3 linked regions of the Caenorhabditis elegans genome follow. The protein of the gene in region 1 purifies or fractionates together with the protein of each later gene. This does not show direct contact. Each region holds a gene or a part of one and is shown in the gene's direction. Other genes may lie near its edges.

Evidence for each region. The genes of interacting proteins can lie anywhere in the genome.
Region 2: the proteins of H03A11.2 (region 1) and ttr-5 fractionate together in Caenorhabditis elegans (co-fractionation; one large-scale study listed by BioGRID). This does not show direct contact.
Region 3: the proteins of H03A11.2 (region 1) and gyf-1 fractionate together in Caenorhabditis elegans (co-fractionation; one large-scale study listed by BioGRID). This does not show direct contact.

The regions. Positions count from the first base shown.
Region 1 is NC_003284.9:15,223,225-15,234,508, reverse strand, and holds H03A11.2 (NLPC_P60 domain-containing protein), read left to right. Parts: upstream 1-3,863; 5' UTR 3,864-3,887; coding exon 3,888-3,931; intron 3,932-3,980; coding exon 3,981-4,071; intron 4,072-4,361; coding exon 4,362-4,512; intron 4,513-4,556; coding exon 4,557-4,621; intron 4,622-4,797; coding exon 4,798-5,046; intron 5,047-5,090; coding exon 5,091-7,854; intron 7,855-7,923; coding exon 7,924-8,030; intron 8,031-8,079; coding exon 8,080-8,265; 3' UTR 8,266-8,640; downstream 8,641-11,284.
Region 2 is NC_003281.10:9,326,686-9,331,431, forward strand, and holds ttr-5 (Transthyretin-like protein 5), read left to right. Parts: upstream 1-3,630; 5' UTR 3,631-3,631; coding exon 3,632-3,776; intron 3,777-3,821; coding exon 3,822-3,958; intron 3,959-4,003; coding exon 4,004-4,060; intron 4,061-4,108; coding exon 4,109-4,189; 3' UTR 4,190-4,243; downstream 4,244-4,746. Other genes in the region: C40H1.7 (Fungal lipase-type domain-containing protein), read left to right, coding at 1-56, 112-307; cepr-104.1 (CEntrosomal Protein Related), read right to left, coding at 622-844, 1,127-1,428, 1,470-1,590, 1,645-1,778, 1,830-2,403, 2,521-2,681.
Region 3 is NC_003280.10:6,680,581-6,687,240, forward strand, and holds the start of gyf-1 (GYF domain-containing protein gyf-1), read left to right. Parts: upstream 1-3,657; 5' UTR 3,658-3,668; coding exon 3,669-3,724; intron 3,725-4,115; coding exon 4,116-4,221; intron 4,222-4,528; coding exon 4,529-4,732; intron 4,733-4,952; exon of another isoform or gene 4,953-5,101; intron 5,102-5,207; coding exon 5,208-5,376; intron 5,377-5,449; coding exon 5,450-5,755; intron 5,756-5,800; coding exon 5,801-6,481; intron 6,482-6,527; coding exon 6,528-6,660. Other genes in the region: ift-74 (Intraflagellar transport protein 74 homolog), read left to right, coding at 64-169, 219-505, 560-1,067, 1,515-1,760, 1,813-2,090, 2,142-2,252, 2,301-2,366.

The DNA.
Region 1 (11,284 bases):
TAAATTTCTCTGTAAGCTGGAAGCTGTTTGCTGTAAGTTCTAACAAATTCAGGAAATCACTACTAGAATACTTGAAAATTTTTCAGAAAAACTATATACCAGTTGCTGCAACAAAAAAGTTGACGAGATATCAGATTTCAGCAAAATGAGGTGTTTTTTTGAAACTTTGACCCGCCATAAAAAATTTTCGGAATTTTTCAAGAGGTCTTTTTCATGAAATTCCGCCGTATTGAACGATTTCTAGTCTATAAAAGAAAAATACCCACAAACTGTACTTCCCTTTTTATATTATTTCAAAGCTTTTCCCAGAAGTTTCAGTACCGACTAATTACAGATTAATATTGCAAACAATATTTGGAGCACAAATGATGGCTCTGTTTACAGAAATTAATTTTCGAAATGGAGCAATGCGAACGATGTGATGCACATCTCATCTAGATCATACGATACATTGGTCATAAAACATTTTCCTATTTTTGGCACAACTAACTCATTACACTTGTCGCACACTCCATTTTTGCGTGACAGATAGTAAACAAAATACTCCCGATGATCATTGAAACCGCCACCCGCAACCTCAAATTTGAAAAAAAAACGAGGGCAACAACAGAGAAGGAAGAAGTGAAAACCGATTCGTATTTGGTTGGCCGTCCGCAGAGAAACAAAAATTCCCGCCGCTCATGATTTCACTCAAAATTGGCCAGTCGAAAACTCGTTATTTTTTTTGTGTTTTTTTCTCCCAACTCCCTCTTCCAATTGTTCCAAGTTTCTATTCTTTAGAAGTTGCAATTTTTGGAGAAACTTTCTTATTTGGAAGTTCGCGTGCATTCACAAAATTAGTGTTTTCCTAGATCTCTTTGTTCCAACAAAATCAATGTTTCAATGTTTCAATTGCTATAATTGCATTAAGGGCATTTAGATGTAGCGTTCAAGTTGTGGTAATTCTATTGTAAGAAGGTTTTTGCGACAATTGAAAACTGTTTACATATATTCAGAAAATTTATAATTCGATTGAACCTAATTTGATGTGTATAAAAATATTTTGAAAAAAAGTGTAGAAGGAAATTGTTTCAAAATTATAACTTATGATATTTTCACTTCGATAATTTTGCTTGGTCGTTTTAAGGAGAATAATAAAGATAAGTTTATTTTTAAATTATATAAATGCTAATAAACCTTTTTTTAAAGATATTTTCTGAATTTTAAAATTATAGTCAGAAAATAAGAATAAACATTGAATCGGCAAAAATAAAATCTGCAAGGTTTTAACACATTTATCTGGATATTATTATTTTTATCGATGTTTTTTAACTGGGATGAATATTTAAAAGGTGGAGTAGTGCCTGTGAGCAAAGTGTGAAAAACTACTTCTATGGTGCCAAAATGACCGAATATCATAATAAAACATTTCAAAAATTTTTTGAAATGTTTTTGTTTACTGTCAAAAAGTGACAATTAATTATCAGTTTTGCCACTCGTAGTTTTGGAAGTCGACCAAAAAAAAATTGTTTTTCTCTATTTTTTATATGGTGATTTTGTTTTAATTATTCGGTCTAAAATATTGTTGGGGTCGAAACATGCGACATTGCTTTGGATTTTCTCAAAAGCTCATATTTTTCCAATTTTGGCAATTTACAAATTTTTTTTATGAAAAACCTGAAATTTGTTGGAGTGTTTTATTATAATATTTGGCCGTTTTGGAATATTATAAGTCTATTTAGACTAAATTCCCACTGACGCTACTTCACATAAATTTTTTTTTCTTCAAATTCTTGCTCTTTTTGGAGTCATTTTGAGCCTACCTTAATTCATTAATTTATTGTATGAATATTGAATTTTTTACCAACGTTGTATAAAATCCCTTCCGCGACTGTCATCAATATATTCCTTTTCGGCTCTGCCCTCATTTTTATTTCTGAGCCCATTCTTACTCAAAACCGAAATTCCAAGTAGATTTCCAAGTCAGAAAGTTCCGCGGAAAGCGGTAATCCCACAGCGATTTCTGACTTGTTGTTTTTAAAAACACTCCAAAATTCGTCCCCCTGTCCTCTCTCTTTTTTTTTATGCTGAGTGCCAATTATCTTCTCCTCTCTTCTCCTACCTCCAAACTCGCCCAAAATCTGCACCTACTACCCGTGTGAAAGTACGAAAAATTTCGACAAAGAGACAAACGTATGAGCAAAAGGATGGCGGCAAATGAGGAGAGCGGAGAAGACAGGGGGGGGATGACGGAATAAAGAGCCCATAGCAACGTGTGCAAATGGCAGATATGGGGGGAAGAAGAAGAGGGTGAAGCATTTTGATGTGTACATACGAACAAGACAACAAAGTTTCGGTGCCATGCGCTATATGAGAGCAGCTTGTTAAACTATTCCATATTAGACATCAAGCCAAAAATGTACGCAGTTTTTCCGTATCTCTCTTCCCGTTTTCCCCACTCTCTTCATCCTTCTCTTTCTCCTCGGTTTTCCTCTTCAAGTCTGCTTTATTCATCTAAATCTATTTTTCATTCGCAAGAAAAGAAGGATGTTTTTTTTTCTTCTATTCTGCCTATTCCATGAAAAATTTTCTTCGTTCTTTTCACCCATTTTTTCTTTTTTTTTTTTGCTTTTTCGTCACCTAGCCAAAGATATTGGTATTGCTCATGAGTTTATACATATGTCAGAAAATTTTAAAATTCCTTATTTTAAGATTTGAGATCGGCTTCTTTTATTCGTGTTCCCTTCAATCATGCGTTTGGTAAAATGATTGTTAGCAATTATTTGTAACTTGTGAATCAGATTTTCTGAAAACAAAAATCTTAAAATTTAGTTTACCAAGTCACTATTGTCAAACATTTCAAAAATTTCTTAATCATAAAGTACATAAACCATCATGTAATGGAAGTATACGAGGCTTTGTCAAAGGATTATTACTTATGAAAATAATAATAATTGTATGTTTTTTTTGCAGTTGGAAAATTGATTATATTTACAACATCCTGAGAAGTGAATCAATTATGAATAGTCTCAAGCATGTTGAATTATTTTTTTTTACAAAAAACAACAAAATACTTGTTTCATAACCCTAAACTACACCTATAAAGTTTCATTAGGTTTTATTTAAAAAAAAAGCTAAACCATTCAACTACAAACTTTAATGTCAATATGATACAATTTTTAATTAAGGTATTTTATTTAGGAAGTATAAATTAATTTGGCCGCTAAGTTCCCAGTCTAATAGTAAAATGTTCACAATTTTCAATTATCAGTTCAAAATATTGCTTTTCATTTTAATAAAACTCCAATTTAAAAAAATATTAAATCAAAATTCGAACAATCTGTAGTTCATCTCCTGTTCATAAAATTTCAGTTAATGTCATTAGAGTTTGATAAATATGATTTTCGTTAACGTTAGTGATAAGAAAATAGAAATATTTTGTTCTCGTTTAATAACTTTTTTCAACAGACTTAGGATTTCTACAAGAACTTTCCATGGTTTTTGATGTCTCAGTTTTTTTTTTTTGGAAAACAGCCAAACAACAACTTGAAAACACGACGTGTTTGTTTTCAAAAAAATAAAATTGAAACGTTTATTTTATTTTTAATAAAATTGACCGCCGAAATTTACAGTTAAACTCGCCCTTTCCTGCAATTTTCTTTTTGTCGGCACAATCTGATGTTCGCTATAATATGGCAAATTTCCTTTACTCGAATGTTTATTCAGCACATTAATGCGCTTTCGATAAACATATTGCGACATTCATCTTATCACTATCATAACTAACAACTCTTATTCTTATTCTTTTTTTTGCCATTGAAAGTTTTCGGCATGTCTATCATCATTTCAAAACTTGACAGCACATCTCATCAATTTTCCATTTTGAACCAATTGTTTTCAGAAGTCTCATGTCTCACGGGGCCAAATGCATTTGTCAAATTTGCACATGCGGGTTGGTTTTTGTTGTGTTAGAACACATGAAATTGGTATGAATGTTTCAGGCGTCACAAGTGTCCACACGATAGGAACGCAAGTAGTTTTCAATTAGGAGATGGAAAGACTGGCTTGAGTCAGGAAAAATCAATTACTCAGGTAATCCTTTTTTTACACTATGATACTAAAAAAAAATTTCATTGGTGTTTTTCCAAAACACATAACTAATTGCGAGAAAATTTTGCTTTTTAGTGGTGCACGTCTATACGCCAAAAAAAACACGAGATATGTACATATAAGTTGTCCATTAAAAATTCATTCGAATATGATTACTTTTTGAGTAACGTTTTTACCAAAGTAAGAAGATTGTAGAAATGCATATTTATCATGCAGAATTACTGACGACTTCAGATAAACTTTTAAAACATTTCTAACTTTCTAACTTGCAGACTTCCTTCGAATCATCAAGCTATCATCAAAAATCACAACGCACAACACCAACACGTCATTACTCAACAATCTCATCCTTATTCACAGAGGAAAATAACACCGGAACTGGTGGAACTCAAACAAGAAATATAAAATCATCAGAGTATCGAGGTGAGAGAGCATTCAAGAAAACATCAATTTTAATACTCTTACAGCAAAGACACAAAATGGAGAGCAAAGTGTGGCAGAGACAAGGTCAACACAGAGAGAAACTGTTCAAGTAAGTGAGAGCTTCAGGTTCTTAGGTAGTACTTAAAAATTGTGTTTACGCATAATTAGATCAACTAAAAAAAGGCCAAATTGCTTCACAAAATTTCTTGAAAACTTTTATTCTATAACTCCTAATTACTTTAAAAAATTTGTGCAGTTTTATAACTTTAAGCGTAACATTTTCAGCTACCACCAATATTGAAAGCCGACAATGGTCGAGCAACATCTCAGTCTGGAAGAGAACGAAATAGTCGGAGTTCGATTCAACAAGCTTTACGGCAGCACAGCGAAGAACGTGCAAACTCTGCAGAATCGAAACGGCAATCGACTTTAACGGGTGCAAAGAAAACTGTGAGCATTAACGAACAAATTACTGGATATCAAAAAACACATCGAAATTCAAGTCAAGTATTCGAAGCGAGGAGGCTTCATCAGGTATAGTTAATAGTGAATGATGGACACTGAAGAAAAAATTACAGATAGCCGAGTTGAAAGATAACAGTAACAGTGGCACATCAATTGATAATGCAAAAGTGCAAACGCGTGCCGAGAAAAATGGAACAAACAACCAACAACACAAATTAATCGAAGTGAATGTCAATCGAAACTACTCCCCCAGGAATAACAGTCAAATTAACGAACTGTTTAAAGAATCTGGAGCAGATCGAGCAACATCGTCAAAGAATACAAGCAATAAAACTCCGCAGGACAATATTAATTCACCAAAGTATTCAAAAAAACAAGCAGTCAAGGCGCACGACAGACACAGCGCCACTCACAGAGAAATACATGGGAAACAAAATATGGCACATACAACTCAAAACCAAGAAGACTTTATTTATCGGAAAGCTGAACATACCCAGATTAGACATCCTTCGGATCATCACATATTGTATTCCCAGCAATCAAGAACATCCACCAACAAAACTGATCAACAAAGTAAAACTCAGAATCAAGAAGATTACACTCATATCAGTGGAGAGCGGTATGCCAAGAAGGTTCCATCTGACAATAAGATCCTGCAAGGAGCTGGTCAACAGTTCGAAGCAAGAACTCAGAATCAAGAAGACTTCACTCACATCAGTGGAGAGAGGTATGCCCAGAAGGTTCCATCTGACAATAAGATTCTGCAAGGGGATGGTCAACATTTCGAAGCAAAGACACAGAACCAAGAAGACTTCACTCACATCAGTGGAGAACGGTATGCCAAGAAGGTTCCATCTGACAATAAGATCCTGCAAGGAGATGGTCAACAGTTCGAAGCAAGAACTCAGAATCAAGAAGACTTCACTCACATCAGTGGAGAACGGTATGCCAAGAAGGTTCCATCTGACAATAAGATCCTGCAAGGAGATGGTCAACAGTTCGAAGCAAGAACTCAGAATCAAGAAGACTTCACTCACATCAGTGGAGAACGGTATGCCAAGAAGGTTCCATCTGACAATAAGATCCTGCAAGGAGATGGTCAACAGTTCGAAGCAAGAACTCAGAATCAAGAAGACTTCACTCACATCAGTGGAGAACGGTATGCCAAGAAGGTTCCATCTGACAATAAGATCCTGCAAGGGGATGGTCAACATTTCGAAGCAAAGACACAGAATCAAGAAGACTTCACTCACATCAGTGGAGAACGGTATGCCAAGAAGGTTCCATCTGACAATAAGATCCTGCAAGGAGATGGTCAACATTTCGAAGCAAGAACTCAGAATCAAGAAGACTTCACTCACATCAGTGGAGAACGGTATGCCAAGAAGGTTCCATCTGACAATAAGATTCTGCAAGGGGATGGTCAACATTTCGAAGCAAGAACTCAGAATCAAGAAGACTTCACTCACATCAGTGGAGAACGGTATGCCAAGAAGGTTCCATCTGACAATAAGATCCTGCAAGGAGATGGTCAACAGTTCGAAGCAAGAACTCAGAATCAAGAAGACTTCACTCACATCAGTGGAGAACGGTATGCCAAGAAGGTTCCATCTGACAATAAGATCCTGCAAGGAGATGGTCAACAGTTCGAAGCAAGAACTCAGAATCAAGAAGACTTCACTCACATCAGTGGAGAACGGTATGCCAAGAAGGTTCCATCTGACAATAAGATTCTGCAAGGGGATGGTCAACATTTCGAAGCAAGAACTCAGAATCAAGAAGACTTCACTCACATCAGTGGAGAACGGTATGCCAAGAAGGTTCCATCTGACAATAAGATCCTGCAAGGAGATGGTCAACAGTTCGAAGCAAGAACTCAGAATCAAGAAGACTTCACTCACATCAGTGGAGAACGGTATGCCAAGAAGGTTCCATCTGACAATAAGATCCTGCAAGGAGATGGTCAACAGTTCGAAGCAAGAACTCAGAACCAAGAAGACTTCACTCACATCAGTGGAGAACGGTATGCCAAGAAGGTTCCATCTGACAATAAGATCCTGCAAGGAGATGGTCAACAGTTCGAAGCAAGAACTCAGAATCAAGAAGACTTCACTCACATCAGTGGAGAACGGTATGCCAAGAAGGTTCCATCTGACAATAAGATCCTGCAAGGAGATGGTCAACAGTTCGAAGCAAGAACTCAGAATCAAGAAGACTTCACTCACATCAGTGGAGAACGGTATGCCAAGAAGGTTCCATCTGACAATAAGATCCTGCAAGGAGATGGTCAACAGTTCGAAGCAAGAACTCAGAATCAAGAAGACTTCACTCACATCAGTGGAGAACGGTATGCCAAGAAGGTTCCATCTGACAATAAGATCCTGCAAGGAGATGGTCAACAGTTCGAAGCAAGAACTCAGAATCAAGAAGACTTCACTCACATCAGTGGAGAACGGTATGCCAAGAAGGTTCCATCTGACAACAAGATCCTGCAAGGAGATGGTCAACATTTCGAAGCAAAGACACAGAACCAAGAAGACTTCACTCACATCAGTGGAGAGAGGTATGCCAAGAAGGTTCCATCTGACAATAAGATCCTGCAAGGAGATGGTCAACATTTCGAAGCAAAGACACAGAACCAAGAAGACTTTATACATAGAAGAAACGAGAGAGTGATTAGATCAGTTCCTATTCAACACAAAATTTTATCATCGGAGGGCCGTAAATTTGATGCCAAAACTGTGCACCAAGAAGAGTTTGTTGATTTGACAAGTGATATCGTGGCACAGAGCGGAATAATCTTGAAAGCAAAACGAGACAGCAGCTCAGTTGCTCAAAGTCGATCACATATCTATGAGACTTCCAATTTTATGGAAGGTTTGTTATTTTCTGTTGTTTTCAGTTCAGTTGTGAAGTGCCAAAATTGGCAATGTCGTTTTTTTTCAGAATCCGAATCCGGTTTCGAGGGATACAGCATTTCTTCCGGTTCAAGACTGACAACATCTCATCACGCAGGGTACCTGACTCAAAACGCTGGTAGTAGCTACGACATTGTATGTCTTATTAAAGGTTTTGAAAAATGGTCCAATAGTTATATTTCAGGATTACCAATACCGTCCAGTTCCATGTATTGCTGGTGAACTCCTAGAATCTGTCAAGCGAAATCATGCAAATACCGAACATTACAATTACAATGCTTGTGACAGTGGTCACCACTTCTACAAGGAAAAGGCAATACTGGAAGAGGAAGAGACGCAAGAATCCGAGAGTTCTGTTATCAAAAAATAAATCAAAGTATGCATGTATTATGCTTGTGTTTTTTATTTAAAATTTGTATAGTTTTTCTTTCAATTGTTTGTAATAAACTTATATGAAAAAATTGTCAGTTGTAATTTTCACATAATATTTCTACTGCAAGATTCAGTCTTGTTGATTATCACTTGTCTCGACGTTTTCTATTTTTATCTATTTTTATTTGTGGTTCTTTTACTCAGCAACACTCTAACATCCTGCTGCCCTCAAAATGTGCAGTTATATCACCTTTTTTATCTCTCACCTAATCGCGTGTATTTTGGGATATTAAAGATGCAATTTTTTTTCAGGAATTGTTTTTTTCACCGACACACTGCTAGAACAAAAATAAATAAAACACGTTTTCTTATGTACATATAACCGTAACTTTTTAAATTTGCAAATCACTCCAGAGCTGATAAGAAAGTTTCGAAAAAGCAGTTAACTTTGCAATCAATGATCCTACACATTATCTACATAGTCTTGCAAAAACTGCTGTTTTTGAAATGTTGTCTCTAAATTTCCCAATTGATACATGATGATATCTCACATTCAGTGTGATGATGATGATTCAAGTTGTTTCTTTTCCAATTATGTTTTTATTCTTATTTCCCATCTTTAGTGGAGTCCTGTTTTTTAATGAATGATTCGTTTTCCTCTCCGGCTTGTGACACTGTCTGACCTGATTCTCCATCTTCACTGCCCCCCCCCTTATACTCCTTCTTCCACGCACTTTTTTATCTTCTCCCTTTTTCTCCCCATTTTTTGCATTGCAACAAACATGGGCAGTGTTTCACATTTATATCATCCTCTCGCTGTGTGTGTTTTCTTTTCCCGAAATTGCGAAAAATTGGATACAAATCTAGCAAATCTAATTTCCAATCGTCTCTGATTTGATTTCAACTAACCTATTCTTCCAAAAACTCAAACTGACGAACTCTCAAATTTGAAAATTGTTTCAATTAGCTTCATTACTACTGCTTGATAACTAGGAGTTCTAACTATTCATATTTTTGAAATAGGAGGTTTTTTTTGTTGAGAACTTTTTTGCTAAACTTTGCCAGTTCATATCCCTCCTTTCCGTCAAATGTTTAGCACCGAAAATCGTTTTTATTGTATGTATGTATCATAAAAATAAATTAATTGTTACCTTTTGATTAAAGTTTGACCATTAAAAAATTCAAGAAAACGACTACTATGTGCATAAATCAGGGGTGGTCGGCAAACGATTTTTCAGGAAAATCGGCAAATCGGCAAAGTTGGAAAATTGACGGAATTAAAAACTTATCGCGAATCGGAAAACCGGTAAATTGCCTATATGTCGAATTTTCCGGAAAAACGACACTTGTCGAAAATTTTCTGCAAATTATGGTTTTGCATATTTTTTTGGAACTTTCTGAATTTTAAACGGCATAACTATACGCAGTCTATGAATGTTCCTGTATTTATTTTGAAAAGTAAGCAAATTCAATGGAAATATCTATAAAAACGGGCAAAAAAATTCAATTTTCAAATAGGAACAGTTTTAGGTGTTTCCGTCTTATTGAAAATCCTTCTAAAGACTTTTGGCAAATTGATGTTTGGTAAACGAGCAAATCGACAATTTGCCGAAAATTAATATTTCCAGCAAATCGGTAAATTGCAGACCTATCGGAGCATACAGTGGGCAGCCAATAAGCACATTTTCCGGTTTCAGATCTCTGTTGAATATAACTGATAGAGCTTGAACTAAAATTTTATTACACCTTGTTCTGCCAATAATCCTGAATTTTGAGCATTTTCCAATTTTCATAAAAAGTTTAAAACTTCACAAACAACTAAAAATCTGTAAAATCGAATTTCGAAATGTTTGTTTGAAGTAATCCGTCGTGCTAATCATTCTTGTCAATCACACGAAATGCAAAACATCTGGATTTGATGAGAATAGTGTTGTGGTGTAATAATGATTGGGGGTGAATCGGGGGCAGCTGCTTGATGATATCCACACGGATTAGTTTTCATTTTCATCTTCCTATCAAATTGTTGCGATATTATCACCCCCCCCCCCCCCCCATTTACAACTCCCGCAGGCCTTCATTATTTCCTTCTCAGTCGATACTGTTAGTTGTGGTTGAGAAATAAAAAAAAAGTGCAAGACATTTATTCATTGATTTAGACTTAATCTTAATCATAACCTTTTTTCTGTCTCGACGCTCCAGCATTTTCTTTTATCTCCCATCAATTTTGTCTCTGCATCCCACATCCTCCATCAGTGTCAAGATGTTCGATGGGAGGGTTTTGTGTCCCGCAAAAAATCCATTTATTTTTTATGATCCGCTGTCACCGAATGGCGGAATGAAGAGACCTTCGAGACACCAACTGACATATTTCTCACTAGAAAATGATTATTTTGTTTGATAGTTCTTCCGCTATCCTGCTATTTGTTTTCCATGAATAGGATAATACTGGTTGCAAACAAAAAAAAACACGATACAGAGAACCATGAATTATTTTGCTTGAGGAGTTGCACTCTTACGTCTAAATATCATGACATTTGTAGTTATGACGGGGGAACCCGCCAAGAAACGAATCATATATTTTATCAAAGCATAGGACAGAAAGATTTAAATGGGATTTTTTTATTTCGTTATTTTGAAACAGATGTTTCAAAAGATGATTTTTTAAGTGAAAAATCAAAAAAAAATTCGTTGAAAACAACAGGTTTTAAAAAATTTCTGGTACTTGTGTATTACATGCCCTCATTTTAATAGTAATTTTTAAGCCATGAAAAATAAAAACGTGAACCACAGTTTGTATTTTTAGGCTTAGGAAATAACATTTTCTAAGCCAAAAGAGGAAAAATGTATATTACGTTTATTTTTATTGGAGAAATTAATGACAATTTAATTTATTTTGAAAATGAGGGCATGTAATACACAAGTACCAAATTATTACGCTCATTTATATTCAAAATATAAACATTTTCCAAAATACTTATTTTTAAGTTGAGAGGCTATTCGAAATTTCATGATAGAAA
Region 2 (4,746 bases), on another chromosome or scaffold:
ATGCGTGAAGGCGACTCTTTTGTCATTTGCGAGCAAGCAGATCAACCGTTTTGCAGGTTTTCGCAACATTTCTTATCAGCAACTATCAACAAAAATGTTTGATTTTTTCAGCAGTCAGGTGCAGAACCTGTCAAATGCCGACCATGCACATTATTTTAATATGGACTTGTACAGATGGTCAGCTGATGGATGTCCGAAGAATAAGGAAGATTACAGGCCAATTGCAGAGAGTGCGGTTAAAAATGGGAAGACGTTCAGTTATGATCTTTTGATTGTGATATTGGGTGCTGTAATAATATTTTTATAAAAAGCATAATATGTACACCAAGTATTTGTCAATAAAAATATATTCTTATTATTACATCGGAACTTTTAAAAAGTTTGCATTTTCAGGAAAAATGTACTACAAATTTGGAAAATACAATAAATGGGGGACAGAGATATAGATAAATAAATAATTCGCAAATTGATAATTCATCAATAATCGTGATCCAATTACCGTATTTCATTTAACAAATTATACTAATTTGACAGCACAGATATCAGTTCTTTTTTTTTGACACGACAAGAGAACCAAGAAATGAACTGCCACAGTTAACTGCAGTAGAAAAAACACAGTATTCAAGTCTCCTTCTCAATATCCTTCAATTTCTTCTTTTTCTCTGCTTTCTTGCGTTCTTGAATCTCTTGAAGAGCCACCACCAACTTATCGGCGTCGATCATTTTTCCAGGATATCCTGTATTATTCACAACAACTTGTTGCTGTTGCCGTCTTATTTCCGCTTCTTTTTTCAGTCGCTCTTCTTCCTCCATTTCACGCTTCTTCTTTTCTTTTGCTCCAAGTCTGAAAAATTGGATTAAAGGTGTTGTAGGGTCAGTACGGATGTTTTCTGCATTCAAATAACAAAATAATAAACTCTTAAAATCTTTGCATTTTTTGGAAACTTTGTTCATTGCTTCAAAAAATGAAAGTATAGGGAAATAAGTGAAACTATTTATAGGTGCACATCACGCTCAGCGGACCACATAACTTCATATACTCGCTAAACTATTCATTTCGAAATTAATTTCAAGCCCTGATTTTCAGAAAAGTACCACCACAGAAACTAATAAAACAAAAACATACAAAATATCTTCTTGCTCTTGTTTCATCTCCCATGGATCTTTTTCTGGACCATCTCTCCGTTGATTATTATAACAATTATTTAATAAATGTTCTCTCCAATTCTCTTCATTATCCTCCACTGCAATTGTGCACAAAGGACACCATTGTGCTCCTGTCGGGGGACGTCTTCCACGACACATTGGATGACTTCCTCCACGTTTTTGATCTTCTTTCTCAATTGCTAATCCACAGTCATTACAAGCTTCCATCGTGTCTTGGAGAAATTCACAACGATATATTAAGTGATCAGTGAGTTGAGATACCTAAATGGAAATTTACGATTTAAACCTGAAAAAGAGCCTACCATTGTCAACTTCATACAATACTTGCAACTTGTCATAACTTTGCAATATTTAGCAAAGTGTTTTTCCATTCCACCTGCTCTACCAAGACCTGACTCTGTTAATTGACAATGTGGGCATCTTCTGGAAATTAGAAAATATGTAGAAATTTATATACATTTAGATCTCTTCCCTTACCCCACATATGTTGGCATTTTATATGGATCATCCTGAACTGTGGATCCTCCTGGCAACGGAGTATCGACTACTGGAATTGCCTCTGGAACGTGTCCGATAGTTGAAAGGCGCTGATTTTTTCTAGTTGTTTTTGGCTGAAATGTTACTTTATTTTTCCAATATTTATTATTTTAATGTCAGTCTACTTTTGATGGTTCCGTTGGAATAACTCTCCGTTCTGGGGATCTTGTGGTTGCCTTTGACGTCATTCTTTGATCTCCATTATCATTATTTCCTCTGTTACTTTGCCTACTTTCAGTTTTTCTTCCTTTTGGTGTTTCAGCTCTTTTCCTAGGTTTCATAGGTGTCATTGGCTTCCAATCATCTGATGGCATTGGATTCTTATCAGGTGTCCATTTTGAATTGACTCCAAATGCTTTCATAGTTCCATCTTCCATCATTAAATCTGAATATGCATTTCTGATTGCATCAGACTTCACTCTATCCATATCCTTTGCTATCTGTTCAGCCTGCCGTGAGTCTCCTCTGACAACTGCGTCGCTTCTCTTGTGACTCAAATCGACAAGTTGTTTCTCGGCTTTTGATAGATCATCACAAGCTGATTGGCACAAATGTGATTTGACAGGTTCGTCCTTGTCACGATGCTCAAGGGACATGACTCGGAGATTGTTACGGAGAGTTCGGACTGATGCCAATGGATCGGCTCCAACATCTGAGCTCCGTTCGTCGTAGCCTTGCATTTTATACTCATTTTTGGGTCTGCAAGGTATCTAGTGAGGTAACGGATCATGAAAAACTGCACGATGTCTAGGATTTTGAAAGCTATTAATACAACTGACTTCTGACAATGAATCCAGAAATCAAAAAAGTACTTACAATCCATAATCTCCAATCTCTTTCTTCTCTTTTTCTTTTTCTTTGTCTATTGGCTTGAATCTTCCACCATTCCTCGAGCTCGCACGACTTCCCATTCCAGCAGCATTCCGTCGTTCTTTGTAATCGTCGTACTCCAGATCAAAGTTCCTAGATGACGACATTGGGGGAAGAATAATAGTTGTAAAAAAATATTTTGAAGAAAGTTTGGAAAGAAGGACGATGCTTGGAGCTAATCTATAATTCCCTTTTCTTTACATTTTTTTTGTTGGGTGTGTTACTATGGAAAGGAGAATAATGAAATGTTGAAAAGAAACAAATATACTAAACAAAAATTATATCGAAGGTTAAAGGAAAGCAGGTGTTTTGAGTAATACATTCTTCAATTAAACACTTTCAGGCGTAAGGAAGGCATGCAACAGGCATGTAAATAAGAATGTTAGTTGGGAAATATGATGATCGTGGGTCTGTCTACCTAAGAGCCTGCATGTTAACCATTTACCTTCGTACATGCCTATTCTGACCTTTCTCTTTGCCGGATGTTTGTTTTTAGGTTTTGGTCATAATGTTGACATCAACCTTTGGCATATCTTATTGAGTTTGTTCTCTTTGTATTTTTTTTCATACAGTTTCGGATACGTTTTCCTGGCTAGAGTTTCCCAGGTATGACTACTTGTTTGATTCTAATTGAAAGGTCACTTTTGTTTTTTATGTTTTTTAATGAATTAGTTGGTGTTTGACTTGTTTACAATTGTCTGATACACCATTTGTTTTGAAAATGATATACTTTGAGGTAACAAATAATCAGATCATCTCTTAGTATATTTTCTCGTACAGGTGTATATAAATTGATTAAATCTACTTATTTTCCATGGAAACTAATACAATTTGTGGACTACAACCACACTTTTCTGTCAAGCTTTTTTTTTATCAAAAAGATATATAACAACAAATCTCTCTTTTTTTCCGAATTATCTTCTTTTTCTTATCTTTTCCTGAGATTTCGTAAACATGTTGTTTTCTGAGAGCATAGCTATTGGTTCTTTGTTGGTTCCATTCTTCCATCCCGGCCTTTTTTACTTTATCATTTTGTTCTCAACAAAAGAATTTCAGAATGAAGCTTATAATCCTTTTGTGCCTTGTTGCCTCAAGCTATGCTTTAATTGGAAATACCCAATCGGCTGGAGTACGTGGAAAACTGATCTGCAATGGAAAACCAGCTGTTGGAGTTTTGGTCAAGTTGTATGATGATGATAGAGGTAATCAAAAACTTTTTTGAATATTTCCTAAAAGTCTATTTCTAGGAATCGATGCCGATGATTTGATGGCTTCTGGAAAGACCAATGGCAACGGAGATTTTGAAATTTCTGGACACGAAGATGAAGTGACTCCAATCGACCCAAAACTTAACATTTACCATGACTGCAATGATGGAATTAAGGTTTCTGGATGACTTTATTACATTTTAAGATAATTGAATTTTCAGCCCTGCCAACGCAAGTTCACTATCAAGATCCCAGATAGCTACATCAACAAGGGAAAGGTAAGAAGATTAAAAAAACTGGAAGTAAACTGAAATTAATATTTTCAGACTGTCCGTAATATTTACGATGCCGGAGTCATTCAACTTGCTGGATCTTTCCCAGGAGAAGGACGTGACTGTCTTCACTAAACTTACCAACTTATATATACTCTTTTTTCTTGAAATAAATCTTTTTAAAATAACAATTTTGGATTGCAACTTCAAATTTTTCAGAGAAAACATTTCGATCCTATTTTCTATAAAAATAAAGTATAACTGGAATATTCAGGAATGCAATAAATATAGATATTTTCCCTATAGTGCAAGAATCACAGGGGATACTGCAATCCTCGAAAACACATTTTATCCGTGATTTCGAATTTTAAAAAACTCATTGAAATATTTAAAATCATTCCTAGAAGATTATCGTTGTAAATTTTATAAATACCACCAATTTGTGCTGGATATTGAATTGAATTTTTTTAATATCGACAGTAATCTACTACGGCCAACAATTTTCGTACCGTCACTTGGTGTAATGTCCGCAAACACCACCACGTCGGAATGCACAAACTGGCCAACACGCATTCTTTTTTATTGTGTCTTCTTTTTTCTTTTTTAAAGTTATAAATATTGACGTTATTTAAAGCATAGAATTGTGAGAGAATGGAAAAACGCATCTAAATACTTTGAAATATAATATTCTC
Region 3 (6,660 bases), on another chromosome or scaffold:
AATTGAGATTTAGATAGCACAATAGTAAATACATATTTTTCAAAATTTTTAATACATTTCCAGATGGGTGGACGCCCAATGACTGGAATGGCAAGACCTCCAACAGCCGGATTGAGACCAGTTACTCAACAAGGATTACGAGCTCCTCCGTCAAGAATGGGAACTGGAAGTATGTATATTCTAGACTCCATTCTAAATTTTAATCAAACATTTTCCAGACTCCCGTCAAGTATTTGACAAATCATACTACATCGGAGTTCTTCGAGCGAAACAAAACGCTATAAAAGTTGAAATATCTCGTATGAAAGAGAAACGAGATAAAGGAATAAAAGATCGAAATGAGCTACATGCATATGAATCAAGAGCATCTGCTCAAGCACAAGAGATTAGTGATTTGCAAGGAAAATTATTGGATTTGAATAAAATAATGGAAAAAATTCATTTGAATGGCGATATGTCGGATATTGAGTTAGAAGCAAGCAAAATGAAGGAACAAGCTGATGAGGTTAGATTACTGTAGATGAAAGATCACTTTAAGTTATAATTTATATAATTATAGATGAGATCATTAGCTGAAGAAGTATTTAATGAACGTCGTGCAAAAGAAGAGGAACTTCAAGGATTGGAAATAGAAGTTGAAGAACAAAAAAAGTTAAATGAAGCAGTAACACATGCAATGGATCCTCAAATGAAAGAAAAATATGAAGATTTAAAGTCTGAAGCGAAGCTTTTAAGAGAAAGAGTTGTAGAAATGGAAGCGAAAAATGAAGATTTAGATGATAGAATTTCAAAATATGAAATTGAAATTCGAAGTAATCCACTGAAAAAGAAGGCAATCCAACTACAAGAAACATTGGATACACTCAAAAAACAAGAGGAAAAACTAATGGAAGATATGCAAAGTGCACTAACACCAGAAGCATGGAGAGATAAAATGTCAGAAAATATGAAACAATTGAACGCAGATTTGGTTGTGATTGAGAAACAACACAAAACTGTTAAAGATCAAATTTCATTGGCTTCAGAAGAATTACACGAGTATGACTCACAAGGAGAAGCTCAAATCAGTACGTTTCCTTTTTTTGATAAGAAACTATTGTGCATTTGTGTTTGGTATTTGGTATTTGAAATGACGTATCTATTAAATATGTCATTGTTTTACCGCAAATAATTCTTCATGGAATTGTGCGTACACGGTCTTATAGGTGGAGTAGAGTTTGTTTTATATGATAGATAATGAACCTAAGTTGGCAAGGTTGAAGTGGCTTATGTAATTTTAATACATTTTAGAGCTGTAAAAATTTTAAGCACTACAGTCCATTTTCAATCATTTGAAACAAAATACCCACAGACACTAATCAATACATTCAATATGGCAATACAATATCAATACGTTCAAGTTTGACCATTATGGGATTTGAAAATCTGAAAATCTGAATTTTGAAAACATGACATGCAGATCACATTAAAAGTTAGAATCGAGTTTCAGAATTCAAAAAATAATAATATTTCAGTGGCTCATCACACAAAATATCTTGATCTACTTTCGAAAAGCACAATGCTTGACGATACGACTGAAAATTATCCACAGCAAATTGTCATTTATCAGCAAGACATTGAAGAATTCTCCGACGCAGTTGTACTGATTTTGAGAAAAATATCTGCCAATTTGAAGAAAGTGAATCTAGAAGATCAGATAACTGATTTAGATGAACGAGGTCTCACTTTACAGACCGGAAATGTGGATGAACTTAAAGAAAGTAGGTTTGATGAGCGATTAAAAATAACCCTCATTAAAAAATATTATTTCAGTGCATGTTCGACTTCAAGAAGAGCTTATATCAATTGAGGATATGGAATTGGCGTTAAATGAAGAAATTGATAATTTGGAAACTGAGGAGAAAAAAATAGATCAGGAATTGGCGGGAGTCGGGAAGAATGTAGATTCAGATGGGCTCCGACAAGAGCTTGAAGAACGTCAAAAAAGGCTTGAAGATGAAGCTCCAGCTCGTTCACATGAAATGCAACAGTTAGAAGCAAATGTAGCAAGTATAAGAAATGAACTTCATTCAATTCCAGGATACTCTCAAGTGAGTCGATATGGTTCTATATTAGTTTTACCAATTATAAATTTATTCCAGCACAAAATGCTTCGCGAACGACTGGAAGCTGTTGAGAAACGTACTGCTGCAAAATCACTTGACATGAGCTTGAGGAAGACTGAAATTGACTACGAAGATATTAAAACAGAGGTGTGGATTTTTTCCTAATCGAGTTAACAATATTTTACTTAATTTCAGAGCATTCGACTTCAGGAAGAATACAATAACATGCTTTTGACCAATCCATTTCAAAGATTCACCTGATTTATTAATTTTTCACTAAATTTATTTATTAAATTTACATTGAATATGCTGAACTGTTCCTGAAACAGCAAAAAAATTATTGGAAAATACTAATTAAAAAATTGAAAAATCTTTGCCTACAGTAGCTTTAAGGAACACGACAAACTTTATCTGAACATGTCTCGTCACGACTACCGTACCTTGAAATTTTCCCGCCCGATTTTCGCAATTTTCTTGCTGATGAATTTCTTTGTTTCTTTCCTGATTTTCTCGATTTTTAATCGTGTTTTTGTTTTTAGAATTTTTGGAAATTTGAGGAGAAGATATATATCAAGTATGAAGCACCCTTTCCGCAAGGTCGCCGTAGTTCCTTTTTTGTTTCCGTCGTTTTACCCTTTTCGGCGATCTTTTTGATTGATAACGTTTAAGTAAGGCTAGTTTTAAATTGAGTTTTCTCAATTTTTCTTCAATTATAACATTTCCATCATTTTTGCAGTCAAATAATATTGTAATTCTATTTAAAATATCGTTTGATTATATTTTGAGAACCTTTATTGATTGACTGTTAAATATAACGAATATATTCAACAGCTTAAACAAACAAATAAAATAAGTTCTATCTGCGCGAAAAGCTACAAAGGATACGAAGAAAAGTCAAGAAATCAATTCAAAAATTATGCCTAATTTTACATAGCCTTTTTTTTTGCTTGATAACGATATATTCACAACATTTTCTGGCTAAAGAAAGGTGGAAACGTTTTGTTGTTCTTCCAAGTTGTAGCTCGGGGGGCCGAAAAAAGTAGGCGCGATGCGGTCGACCGCGACGCAACTCATTTCTCTGCTTCTCTTTATTTCAGTAATCTTTGTTTCGTGGCGTGGTCTCGAGAAATAAATAGACGCAGGGTGTGGTGAGAAAATTGTCCGCAACCACCGCCCGGCAGCTAGATATTGAACCAATATCTCACGATAAACTTTTACCCTTTGCATACATGCTAAAATGAGAATTAAGAATACAGTTTTTATAGTAATCTGAACTTTTCGTTTTTTAAATGCCTGATAAGATTAGTTACTCGGGCTTCTGCCACGTAACATTCGTCTCTGCGTATCTCATCTTTGAACAAGCAATTTTCGTTGGCCGAGGTTTTGCGCTGCGGTCAAAACTAGGCCTTTGACGAGTTACACAAGTTGAATCCTAAACATTTTCAATCTGATCATGATAGAAACTTCTCGAATAAGCCTTTTGTCTTTTTTTAATCTCATTTTTGAAAAAAGGATATTGAAGTATGCGTTTCAATTATATTTCGTTTTACAGAACTACTCAAAATGTCGTCAGTTTCGTCCGCCGAGCCAACTGCTCAACAAAATTTCAATCCAAGCTGGTATGTGTTTGAATCTTAAAAAATAATTATTATTTAAAATTAAATGGAGTTTTTTCCAAGTAATCTAAGATATTTTTCATTTTTAACCTCTAGTTTTGAATCATAGAGCAAATGATTTTTAAATGCGTTCTTTTCAACTAAGAAGTTTATCGCTCGTATTTTTTTGTTAAAAAGGCTCTACTCGATCGTGTTTGTAGCAATATTAAAAGAAAAATAAAATAAATAATGCCGAAAACCAAAATAAAACCCAAATTCTCAAACTTGTACCTTTTTTACCACAAATTTGCTGACTGCAGCTGAAAAAATGAATAATATGAATTCCAGAATATAAAAGTTAGCAAAATCAATTAGAAATCCAAGCCACAAGTTCTTTCTTAAAATTGCGTTAAAGTCATTTCAGGATGCGTCCAAATGCTGCTAACCGTGGTGGCTCAATTTCTTCGGGAAACAATCGTTCCTCTGGATTTGGTGGGGGTGGATTTGACGATGGCGGCGATGTGAGTTTCAGAATCTACGGGAAAAAACCAGCACGTTCCACAAATATATTCTTAGCACATCTCATAATCTAGAAATTTAGAAAAAAAAGGAAAATAATTTATTTACAATTTTGTGTTTATTGGGTCATGGTCCCCGTGGTACCCGGTTTTAATATTATAATCGTCTGTCACAACATTACATCAAAAACTAAATAATTATGAATTTAGATTTTAGAATATACCTCTCAAAGTCGGGCTATCACTGACTCCCTCCCTCCATGACAAAAAACTCTTATTTTTAAAAAAAACTGAAAATGTGTTCAATTAGGAAATCTCCTCTTCGGCAATCGCTGCTGCAGCCGCCGCGGTCCTCTCTTCGCCAGTGGTTTCGGAATTCTCGTACACGCGCGAACGTCTTCTCGAGCTGGCTCCAACCGGATCGATTATGCCTGATGCGTTGCGCGATCAGCTATTTTTCAACGAGAAGAACCTGCCGCTCGTCTCGAACACGCCTCTCAGTGAACATGAACAGGTAGGGATACCACAAGAGTTTTAGAATTAGAAATAATGAAATTTATCCCACTATTGTCTGACGATTTCCAATTTTGCATGGTACTTTTTTGATAATTGACAGATTTGTTTAGGATCTATGTTTAGGATCTATATTTTATTATTCGTGTGCACATTGTATTCTAGAATTTGATGTGAACTTCTATTTTATCCAGTTTCACTGACTCTTTCGTCTAAACAAGAAAAGTATAGTGTGTCCTTGGAGGGAGGAAGGCATAGCGAGACTTTATGAGGCTCTTTGCTGTTCGTATCCCACCATTTCACTTTCCTAATGATCGGAGTAATTTGTGTTATCGAATAAGTTTATTTGTTAAACACTTTTAAGTTGAAAATGCTTAGTTTTTTCGTTTCATGTTTATGTTCCGTGGTAGAGTAGTTATTCTCTAATAAAATTTCTAACAAATCCTATTCATGAAAATTATATATTTCATTTTCAGAAACTGCAACACAACATAAACTCTTCGAAAGCAATGTCTCTTTTATCGCACGCTGATCGAGCCTCAATTGCTGCTGGAGCTGCTTATGGAAGTGGATATGGAGCCGCTTCCGGAGCACTTCAAAACGGACAATCACCAACCAGTCGCTGGGCTCCGAAATCATCTTGGAGTAAGTGTTGCGAATTTTTGTAATTAGACTTTGATACATAAAAAATAAAAACAATCTAAACAATATTGTTTAGATAAAGGCACACCGGATCGTGGCACCGGTACAACTCCTCGTGGTGGTGGATCTGTTGGTCGAGCAAGTGGAGCATTCTTTGCAGGCCGTGGTGGCGGACGAATCGGCGGAGAAAACGGGTTTGGCGGCGCGACCAATGGTGGCTCGCCAGCTGCTCAAAACGAAGATTCTCCTGGAACATATCAATCAAAGTTCAATGCACTTCGTCGTGGCGGTGGCGCGGGAAGCGTCGGTCGTGGTGGCAGCACGACGGGTTCAGCTTTTAACACTAGAGCTGACGCTTTGTACAACCCGAACGATCCAACTGGTAAGTTTTAAGGAAATTTTCTGATTGAAAATATGATCGGTATAGATCGTCCAAAGGCGGTGAATCCTGCTGCAACTCGAAGCGAGAGCGATGAAGAAGAGGAGGAAGGATGGTCGAAAGTTGGAAGTACATCTCGAACCTCCACCAATGCGGCCCCTCAATCATCTGAACGTCCTGCTTGGGCTCGTTCTGAATCTTGGATTCAACGTACACAGCAACAACAGCAACAACAACAGCAGCAATCGACTCAGCAGCAAGCACAACCTCCAATTACTCTGTGGAATAATCGAGAAGTTGGTTCTGATTCAACTGTTTGGAAAGATCGGAATCACATGGTTGCTGCGGTTAGAAAGGCATCCACAGAAAATCATCCACCACAACAACAACAGCAACAACAACAACGTTCATCTGCTCCAGTTTCTGCTCCTTCTCGGCAAGAGAGTGAATCAACGGATGTTCCGAATCTTCCTATTCCTACATATCCTTCTGATCCATCAGCGTGGTCTAATAATTCGATGGGAGGTGGTATTTTCTATCAACCAACGCCACAGCCACCAGCTCCGATTGTAAAAGAAGAACCTGTTCAGTTTTACTACATGGATCCAACAGAAACTCGTCGTGGTCCTTTCCCTAAAGATCAAATGAATGTATGGTTCAAAGCGGGTTATTTTACGGATGAATCACTTCGAGTTCAGAGAGGCGAAAACGGAGAATATAAAACGATCGGTAAGTTTATCATATTTTTGCTTTAAAAAAATAATTAATTTTCCAGGTGACCTCAAAAAATTGCATGGATCCTCGACGCCATTTGAATATTTGGAAGATATTGAGCCTCCACGCCCAATTTTGCCGTCGATCCCTTACCCGTCCGCGACGAATCCTTTGTATCCAGCTGCATTTGGTGG